3 linked regions of the Kluyveromyces lactis genome follow. The protein of the gene in region 1 purifies or fractionates together with the protein of each later gene. This does not show direct contact. Links are inferred from orthologs where the notes say so. Each region holds a gene or a part of one and is shown in the gene's direction. Other genes may lie near its edges. The genes, in order: HAT2, ORC6 and ORC1.

What was found.
Region 2: the proteins of HAT2 (region 1) and ORC6 purify together in Saccharomyces cerevisiae (affinity purification with mass spectrometry; 3 studies listed by BioGRID). This does not show direct contact. The link is inferred for Kluyveromyces lactis from reciprocal best matches to the Saccharomyces cerevisiae genes HAT2 and ORC6.
Region 3: the proteins of HAT2 (region 1) and ORC1 purify together in Saccharomyces cerevisiae (affinity purification with mass spectrometry; 3 studies listed by BioGRID). This does not show direct contact. The link is inferred for Kluyveromyces lactis from reciprocal best matches to the Saccharomyces cerevisiae genes HAT2 and ORC1.

What each region holds. Positions count from the first base shown.
Region 1 is NC_006040.1:76,118-79,346, reverse strand, and holds HAT2 (Hat2p), read left to right. Parts: upstream 1-1,433; coding exon 1,434-2,660; downstream 2,661-3,229. Other genes in the region: KEL3 (Kel3p), read left to right, coding at 1-1,145; POL5 (DNA-directed DNA polymerase), read right to left, coding at 2,863-3,229. UniProt on the Saccharomyces cerevisiae protein: Regulatory subunit of the histone acetylase B (HAT-B) complex. The complex acetylates 'Lys-12' of histone H4 which is required for telomeric silencing.
Region 2 is NC_006042.1:2,246,147-2,249,192, reverse strand, and holds ORC6 (origin recognition complex subunit 6), read left to right. Parts: upstream 1-1,276; coding exon 1,277-2,527; downstream 2,528-3,046. Other genes in the region: histone methyltransferase SET1, read right to left, coding at 1-932; NMA111 (Nma111p), read left to right, coding at 2,787-3,046.
Region 3 is NC_006038.1:453,251-457,559, forward strand, and holds ORC1 (origin recognition complex subunit 1), read left to right. Parts: upstream 1-1,466; coding exon 1,467-4,127; downstream 4,128-4,309. Other genes in the region: ECM7 (Ecm7p), read right to left, coding at 1-994. UniProt on the Saccharomyces cerevisiae protein: Component of the origin recognition complex (ORC) that binds origins of replication. It has a role in both chromosomal replication and mating type transcriptional silencing. Binds to the ARS consensus sequence (ACS) of origins of replication.

The sequences.
Region 1 (3,229 bases):
TATACGGTGGTTACACCAAGGTAAAAGCCGGCAAAGGCTTACAAAAAGGTAAGATTCTATCAGACTGTTGGTATCTGAAGATGAAATCCGATCTGGGTTCCATTAGATGGGAAAGAAGGAAGAAACAGGGTTCCCAACCATCTCCAAGAGTTGGCTGTTCTATGGTTCATCATAAGGGAAGAGGTGTTTTGTTTGGAGGTGTCTACGACTTTGAAGAAACAGAAGAAAGTCTAAGATCAATCTTTTACAACGAACTATACACATATCAGATAGAAAATAACAGATGGTATGCAATGTCCTTGAGACCTCAAAGGAAGAAGAAGAACTTCGTTCAATCGAAGTCCAACAGGAACAAAGATAAAGAACTTGAAGATATTTTGAATCAAATTCTTGATAAAGCTAACTTGCGTGACGCAGAAGACGACGATGAAAGCAAGGTCATTGAAGAACAATTAAATCAGCTAGATCTTATAGATTTTGATGATGATGATGAAAGCGACAAAAAATCAGCTAAATCCTATGAAACTATGTCAACTTTGCCTCATGCCAGATTTAACGCTGCGACTGCTGTTGTGGATGATACGTTATTCATCTTCGGTGGTACTGTTGAAATTGGCGAAAAAGACTATCCAATCGACTCCTTTTACAGCATTGATATGAACAAACTTGATGGGGTGAAGGTGTACTGGGAAGAGTTGAAGGAAGTTGAAAGAGCAGAGAAACTTGGAGAGCAAGATTCTGACGATGAATTTGGCGATGAAGACGACGATGATGAAGACGACGGTGAAGAAGAGATTGTTGACAGTAAACTTGAAGCTGAAGACGAAGAAGAAGAAGAAGAAGAGGAAGAAGTGGAAGAAGAGTACGAAATTCCGGATCTTAGACCTTGGTTGCCTCATCCCAAGGCTTTTGAAACCCTTCGTGCATTTTACGTTCGCACAGGTCCTACTTTCTTAGAATTGGCTATTTCCAGTAATAGAGACTCAAAAGGTAAGCATTTGAAGACAAAATCGTTCGAGTTATGCCAAGATCGGTGGTGGGAAAGACGTGAGCAAGTTCGGATTGAGGAAGATAAATTAGAAGAACTTGGAGGGGTCGAAGATGTTATTGAAAAGGATACATCAAAAACCCAACGCCGAAGGTAATCTAGTAAAAGTTACAAAATATATACAGTACTTAGTTGATGAAGACGAAATATTAGATGCTTTTCCCTGTATTCTGCATTCTGACAGTATTTTGAGGCAGTTGGCTTTTACCATACATTAATCCAAACACGTGACTTTGTTTGAATTGCACTGTCGCGCCCCATGAAAAACGCTTTAGGATATTCGATGGAGGATTAATAAAGAGTGCAATGAACAACGGCTGGTTTGACACATACTGTGAGAGCCGGATAACGTATCCAAAGATCAGATAAATCCAATAGACTAAATATGACTGAAGTAGAAGAACCTGAGCAACCCACAACAATTAATGAGGAGTACGATTTATGGGTCTCAAATGTGCCAATGATGTATGATTTTGTTAGCGAGACGCGACTCACCTGGCCGTCACTAACTGTACAGTGGCTTCCAACCGAGATGCAACCTCGAGAAGTTGATGGACAGCAATTATTGAGACAAGAGTTACTTATTGGGACGTTAACTACTGATAACGAGCCGAACTACTTGAAAATTGCTGCCATTGACCTGCCGGAAAACGTCACTTCTTCTAAACCAAGTGTGTCCGATGATGCGAAGGAAAATGAATTGAGCCATCGTCAATCTAAGATCAAGATAGTGAGGAAGTTCAAGCACGAACAAGAAGTCACCAGGGCAAGATACATGCCTCAATCGCCTAATATAATTGCAACTTTGAACGGAGCTGGTATCGTATACATTTTTGATAGAAATATTAAGGAAAAAGATCATGGCGCCATTGCCAGTTTCTCCTATCATAAAGAGAATGGATATGGATTGGCGTTCAATCCCACTGTTTCTGGCCAGCTACTTTCTGCATCCGATGATGGCACTGTTGCTTTATGGGATGTCACTTCCACTGCAAACAAATCGCCGTCTCAAACATTTGATGTGCATACTGATATAGTAAATGACTGCAAATGGCACGAATTCCAAAGCAGTTTATTTGGAACAGTATCCGAGGATAACACATTAATAATTCATGACACCAATAGTGATAGGGCCATTCAAAAGTTATCGGTCTCCTCTGCCTTCAATACATTAGCATTCAGTAAGCGTTCAGAAAACCTTCTTGCAGCAGCAGGTACAGACTCTAACGTCTATCTCTATGATTTACGTAGATTGCAAAAACCATTGCACTCAATGGCAGGTCATGAAGATTCTGTTACCTCACTCGAGTTTTCTCCTCATCAAGATGGATTATTAACTTCAAGTGGTTCTGACCGAAGAATTATTATGTGGGACTTATTCAATATTGGAGCAGAACAACAACCAGATGACGCATACGACGGAGTTCCTGAGCTATTCATGATGCACGGCGGTCACAGAAGCCCCGTTAACGAGTTTTCTCATAATTCAAATGTTCCATGGCTAATGTGCAGCGTCGAAGAAGAAAACGTTCTTCAAATATGGAAACCAGCGAATAAGATTGTCCGTCCTCCGCAACCGCCAGCTGATTTCGATATTACAACCTTAGAATAGTTAAGTTAATGTCTATAATTTTCTATAAGTTGATGCTATTGAGCGTTACGTATGAAACAAAGAAACAAAAAAAAACATAAGAGGAAGACTGACATTTAGGAATACTAGTACGAATAATAGTCTTTCTTTTCATAATATTGTTCTGTTAGTGCTAAGTTTAAAAAAGCTTGATGACACCCCGAGTTCGATCGATATTACTAAATTATGCAGCTCTCTTTGTTTGAAGCCAGTTTGAAAAATCAATGAAGAAATTAACTGTGCATTTTCCGTCTTTCATCCAAGCTTTCGACGTGTCTGCATATAGATCAATCAAGTTCTCATGAGAACCACCGCTGGAGAGATATAACTTGGACAAAAACAATGAGGCTAAAGAACAGGTGGAAAAAAACAGTTGTTGAAATTGTCCTGGCTTGGCAGTCATTATGAGCTTATGGACTTTTTCCAGTAAATGAAAGATTTCTGAAGTAACTGTCTTCTCTTCTTTTGCAATAGTTGCCTTAACCTTACATAGCCTTAGTTTCATTAGTTTAGCGCATTTGTCTGCTAAAGCCTTATCCAAAGTGTGTTGC
Region 2 (3,046 bases), on another chromosome or scaffold:
TTCTGTTTGATTAGTTTGTCCTTTATTGAATTTAACACTGTATTTTGGTTTAAAATGACATTGAACTTGATACCTGATACTGTGTAAGGTGCGTCTTTGAATTTCTCTGATGCCTTATAAGCAGCTTTATATGGAGCATCAGGTTGAGAAACTGGACCAGTGAATTTTATTAGATAGACGTACAATGGCAATGCACTATTTGGATCCATGAACTGTTCAAAATGCGCTATTTCACCAAATGATTTAAAGTAGTTTTTGATTATTGCTTCAGATAATGCGGCTGCTATTGGTTGTTGGTTAGATGCAGAAGGGTATACTATGATTTCTTTTGGAGGTTCAGGACCAATGTAGAAAGAATCATACGGAATTCGCGAGTTGCGTACCAATGCACTTCTAAGCTTTCTATATCTCTTTTTCGCAGAAATGGACCCAGAGACCGCATCCCCATTCATAGGACGTATTCTCGGATCCACCGAAGTTTGTTCAGGCTGCCTGGCCATGAGTATTGGTTTTTGCTTATCCGATGCAATCAACTCCGTTGTTGTCACATATCCATGCTCAGGAATCTTCTCAGATTTCCATTTCTTGAAGCTGGATTCATTTCGTAGTCGTTTACTTACAATGTCGTAATAATGATATTTTGTATTAAACTCATCGCGATCGTATTTCGCACTCACTACTGGACGCGTTGCGAAGGGATTACGAGGAATCTCGCTGATACCACGCGACTGCGACCGTATTGGACGAGATTCGTTCTCATTATTCCTAAGTTGAGACCCAAACCCCTCGCGGGAGTATCTTCGGTTCCCTGATCCATTCCGTTGGAAGCCCTTGTACCTATTCCCATTTTCTTGATATGCATATCGTCCGGTTTGGTACCGATCATTATTCCCATGAAAATGAGAGTACTGTCTATTATAGTACCCACTCATGAGAACTAAAATATACACACACGCTGGAATAGCAACTTATGCTAGATGAAATACTAGAAGTATTGCCAAAACTGAACTTATAGATGGAGAAGCGAATAATGATACTTTTGATTAATATTCAATTTCATTATTTACCATATTTTGTTTCAATATTGGAGAAAATCGAGAAAATCAGAAAAAGATCAAAAAGCTACATAAAGACTGTTTTTAATATTATGTTAAAAATGGTCCATGGAGATGAGATGAGATATATGTCTTTTCCGGGCCAGTGTAATACAACAAGTGAGTAGATGATCCTATTTTAGTCACTTTAGAGTGCTAAGAATCCGTGGAAATAATTTAAGATGTCTACGCAGCAAGTACGAACGTGTGTAACCGATTTATTAGGGGTCAAAAATGATTCTAATGTTGACTGGCAAGACCAACGGTTAAAGAAAGTGGCTTCTACTACAGCAACATTATACAACGTTTCAGTATCGAAAGTGATGCTGAAGAATTCAGAGGAACTTGCTCGGTGCCATATATGTGCACTGATTGCGTTTCAGAAACTAGCTGAGAAGTATGACAATGACCTACCATATTCTCAGGAGAAGATCCCGCTTCCACCAGACCAAGTATCCAAACTTGTGAATATATTTAAGAGAAACATATGGCCTCATTCGCCGCAAAAGGATACCGAAGGACAATTGCTGAAGTTTGATGATACTGCATCACCATCGGTTAGAAAGTCAGCGGTTAAAAATGCAAGATTCACAGGGATAGATCCGAAGTCGTTACAAGAACAGCTATTCCAGACTCCGTCGAAATCAAGAACTAAAAGTGGTATCCAGCCCTTGAAGAATGTTGATCTTTCACCTAGCAAAGGGAGTAGGTCAAGTGTCCGGAGGAAATTAGTGTTTGAAGCTGATACAGAAAATGGCCTTCCGTTGCCCATATTAGCAACCCCGAAGAATAAGACTGATATGATCAATATACCACAAGTGTTTGGATCAGTTGAGGATGATCCTGAATCTCCATTAAGACAGTCACCCTTTCGTGACTCCCCTTCTAAATACACGCCTTCACCAAGAAAGAAAAGAGGTAAGTATAACGAATGGAACATGCTATACAAAAAATACTATAGACCGTCTACCGCTGAACTGGTGACTCTGTGCAATGAATTTGAACTTCCTGAAGAAGTAACAGCTACCATAATTTCCGAATTCAATAACAACGCTACTTACCTAGCGTATCCTACACAGTTGGTTTGTGGTCTGGTACTTCTTTGCTCGTTCGTTGTCTTCAACCAACAGAGAAATCAGGACAGTACAATCGATAACAAGCTAATGAAGAAGATGGCGGCACAAATGAGAACAACAAATGATGAAGATATCATGGAAGCTATCAAGATCACAAAAGAACTAATAGACGGTGAGAAATGGTACCGAGAACTCCGTGTCAAGTTCGATTATTACGATGGATCGGATTTCGATAACGCTATCGCCGTCAGAATAGGCAGCATGTTACAAGACGAATATGAAGTCGTATCAGAAGAGCAATACTCAAACTGGAAACGAAGAATTATGGTCGACCTCAGTCTAAGAGATGGCACATGAATGGTTTCCTCCGATACCTTTCTTCTCACCGTCCCCATCTTCGCATTTATCATTCAATACGTTTTCATTACCTTTCTAATGAATTTTTCACGTTGACGTTTACCGAAGGGAACGGCAAGATGAAAAAAAAGAAGATAACTAAACATAGAGAGCGCAGATGAGATGAATTGAAGAGAGACATTACCGTCTGTCAGAACTCTGGAGATCGGATTACTCTTCGAATAATCAACTGCGAAGTACGTACCGAGTAACTGGTGAAATGACTGTTGAGTTGAAGCGAAACCTACTCGAATCATCTGTTGAAGACATTGATCTTGAATCCAAGAAACAGAGGGTCGACAATGACGTCGATCAGAACACAAGTAGTGTAGACGAAGATATTGATTATGAAGAAGACTATGATGAAGTGAACGATGTACCTATAGATTCAGGCAACTCTTTATTCAATAACAACGCTAAATGGCAAGAAACTATCTCCAAAGTTGTTAAGTCGGTGGTCTCAATTCATTTCTCGCAAGT
Region 3 (4,309 bases), on another chromosome or scaffold:
TCGTGATGCACCACTCGAAACCCGTCCAGACGAGACACGATATAATATTGAAAAATGCAAAGATCCACAAGCATGTGAACCAACCAGTTCCAAGATGATATGAAAACCCAAACGAATCAAGTTCGTTCGAAATCTTTTGACGAATGTTGATTGATAGTATAGTAAAGTTTATGACTGCTACTAAAGAGCAAATAAACACCAATAGTTTCATTAGTGATATAGAATGCAGGAGGATTTTGGTTTTCATGGTTTGTTCAGGTCTATTCCTGATCATGTAGTACAAGACAATCGATCCCAATATGAAAACTTCCAATACTGCCACGACGTAAAGTAGATTGACCATGTTGACTTTTCTTCTCGACAAAGCAGCCAAAAATTTGTTGTATTTTGCACTTTCTGCATTGTCGTGATCCAAAACACCATCGTTGTAAGTATATCCGTATGCGTAACTTAACACTATTCCCAAACCTAGGTCATCTAATAGCTTTCTATAGTTCAATAAGTATTGCGCTCCTTCCCTGTGACAAGTCATAGCCTTTGTAGAGTTATGTTCCTCCTTCCAAGTACCGTCAGGCTGCCATAATTCTTGAGAAGCATGTTTCATGCTGCACCATCCGTAAACTCCTGTCTTTATATAATCGGGCACGTCGTGGACCTGTGAGTCTACATACCGCGTGAGTAAAAGAATCTCTGCTGTTGTGAGTCCTGCTCCGTTATTAATATCAGACAGTTTTGCACTGACAACAGAACTGCTGAGCTTATCAAATAGTCCCTGCAAAATGTTAACATTTGAAGTGTCCAATCGTCCTAAATATAACGAATTTGGTGATGCGGCAGAAATAGCAGTCAAAACAAGGACAAAAACGATAATTCCCACTGAAGTTATAACTCGCAGCCATAACATCATCTTATCAAATGCGTTGAGGTGTCCTAGGGTCACTTTTAAGTATTTCCATAACGATATATTCCTCGCCAAGACACTTCCAAACCTCATTTCTTTTTATAAAGCTCCTAAAAGCTTCTTATGTATGACTCTATCAACGTGGGAAATTGTTCAATTTTTTTTCCAGCAGGCCAGCTGCCTTTATTCTTCTGTGTTTATCTGCTTCACCTTCGTTAATTGACTGGCAGAATTCATTCTGTTTATCATGTCATCACTCTTGAGATAAATCTCTTGATCTGTTTCTGCCAGGGTTCAAGGTTTAAAATTAGACGTCAGGAATGGGAAAACTATGTATCATTTTACACGTATTTGATGTTTCAAGATCGATCTTAATTCAGTAAACAGAGGAACCGTGTAACAACCAATATGCTATGAGATAAAAGAATGCTACGGAAACAGGTAGCTGTCATTTCAACATACTTGGCCAGCAAGTAACTACTACTAGTTTAGGAAGGAATTACTGCATTTTAACGGTTATCTGATTATTTTTCCTTTTTATTCCGTGGTAGCGAGTTTATTAGGCATGGCGTCAACGTTAGCTGAGTTTGAAGTTCAATGGGAAATACAGAAGACAGACTTGAAGGGGAATCTCATTGCTGAAACTCCTAGGCGAAGAAGAAGAGGAGATGCTACAGAACATGAAGTGATTAATTTGGTACGATACGATGGAGTCAGACTTTATCCTGGTGTTACGATTGTGTGCAAGGTAGAGGGTGCAGACGAGTTATCAGCGTATATGATCCATGAGGTGCGATTGAATACAAGCAATTACGTAGAACTCTGGTGTTTGAACTATTTGAGTTGGTACGAGATCAATGCTGCGGAAAGATATAAACAGCTTGATGGAGAGTTTTATGAGACTAATAAGGAAAAAGGTGACAAATTTTTTGAGGAAACCTTCGCGTCACAATCGATAAAGAACGAATTGTATTTGACAGCTGAGCTTTCAGAGATTTATCTACGGGACTTGCAATTTGTAGCTAATATTAAAAATGAAAAGGAGTATTTAGACTCTGTCAATGAAGGGAAAATGGATTCTAATATGTTTTTATGTCGATCTGCATGCTTGCCTTCAGGAACTAATCTGGCGGATTTAGATATACATTTCTTTGAAGAAAAAATACGTTCCTCGAATCCTAAGGTGTCTCTGGAGTATTTGCGTGATATTACTTTACCCAAGCTTCCAAAACCTTTAAATAAATCCAAGGTCCACGCACGAGAGAAGGTAGTGGCGACGAAATTGCAGTCCGACAACACACCAAGCAAAAAAAGCTTTCAACAAACAGTGAGCAAAACCAACGCTGAAGTCCAACGCATTGCATCTACTATTGTTAACGAAAAGGAAGCTATATCAGATAATGAATCGGATTTATCTGAATATCACGAAAGTAAAGAAGAGTTTGCAAACGCATCCTCTTCGGACAGTGATGAAGAGTTTGAAGATTACCAGTCTGCAGAAGAGCTTGCAATTGTAGAACCTGCCAAGAAAAAGGTGAGATCTATTAAACCAGATATACCCATTTCACCAGTAAAATCACAGACTCCATTGCAGCCATCAGCAGTTCATTCATCTCCTAGAAAGTTCTTTAAGAATAATATAGTGCGCGCTAAAAAGGCATATACTCCATTTTCCAAACGGTATAAGAATCCGAAGGATATTCCTGACTTGAACGATATTTTCCAAAGGCATAATAATGATTTGGATATAGCTGCATTAGAGGAGAGATTCAGAACAGTTTCTGCTAAAGGCAAAATGGAGACTATTTTTTCTAAGGTGAAGAAGCAATTGAACTCAAGGAATAGCAAAGAAGAAATTGTCAAAGCTGCTGATTTCGACAATTATCTTCCGGCAAGAGAAAATGAATTTGCAAGTATATACCTCTCACTTTACAGTGCAATTGAAGCAGGCACTAGCACCAGTATTTACATTGCCGGGACGCCAGGCGTTGGTAAAACTTTGACGGTTCGAGAGGTAGTTAAGGATTTAATGACATCTGCAGACCAAAAAGAACTTCCAAGATTCCAATACATTGAAATCAATGGTTTAAAGATTGTCAAAGCAAGTGATAGTTATGAAGTCTTTTGGCAAAAAATATCTGGAGAAAAGCTTACATCTGGAGCTGCCATGGAATCTCTGGAGTTTTATTTTAACAAAGTTCCAGCTACGAAAAAACGTCCTATCGTTGTGTTATTGGATGAGCTTGATGCATTAGTTAGCAAGAGCCAAGATGTAATGTACAACTTCTTTAACTGGGCTACCTATTCAAATGCGAAACTTATTGTTGTAGCTGTCGCAAACACCTTAGATCTCCCCGAACGCCATCTTGGTAACAAGATTTCGTCCAGAATTGGTTTTACTAGAATTATGTTCACTGGTTACACGCATGAAGAGCTTAGAACAATCATCAATTTGAGACTTAAATATTTGAACGAATCTAGTTTCTATGTCGACCCGGAGACAGGGAGTTCGTACATGATCTCTCCGGATAGTAGTACTATAGAAACTGATGAAGAAGAAAAGCGAAAAGACTTCTCTAACTATAAACGACTAAAACTTAGGATTAATCCTGATGCCATTGAGATTGCATCAAGAAAAATTGCTAGTGTCAGTGGTGATGTGCGGAGAGCTTTAAAGGTGGTCAAAAGAGCGGTAGAATATGCGGAAAATGATTACTTAAAGAGGCTTAGATATGAGCGACTAGTCAATTCCAAAAAAGATACTAGTGGCAATGGTACAGGAAATGAAGAATTACAGAGTGTAGAAATTAAGCATATTACCAAGGCATTAAACGAAAGTTCGACCTCTCCGGAACAACAATTCATATCTGGTCTGTCATTTAGCGGAAAACTTTTCCTATACGCATTAATCAATTTAATTAAGAAGAAGCAAACTGACGTACAACTTGGTGATATCGTAGAAGAAATGAGGCTCCTCATTGATGTCAATGGGAATAACAAATACATTTTAGAGTTGAAACGGATTTTATTCCAAAATGATTCTGTTGATACAAAGGAACAGTTAAGGGCCGTGTCTTGGGACTATATTTTATTGCAATTATTGGATGCAGGTGTTGTAGTAAGGCAATATTTGAAGAATGAGAGGCTCTCGACGATCAAATTAAATATTTCCATGGAAGATGCGGAGCAATGCTTGCATGAAGATGAAATGTTGAAGACATTTTAGTATATGCCTTCAAGACGCCTTTGCTGCTATTATAATTGCTACTTAGGTTGTCATGTAGCGTAGCGGTTAAGTAGAATATGAAACTGCTTTTTCAACTATTTAATTATAAGATAGAAAGATATAATAAAGGATGCATTTTTTTAACTACTATTTTACCGTGTTTATTCATTCTTTACCCTCCC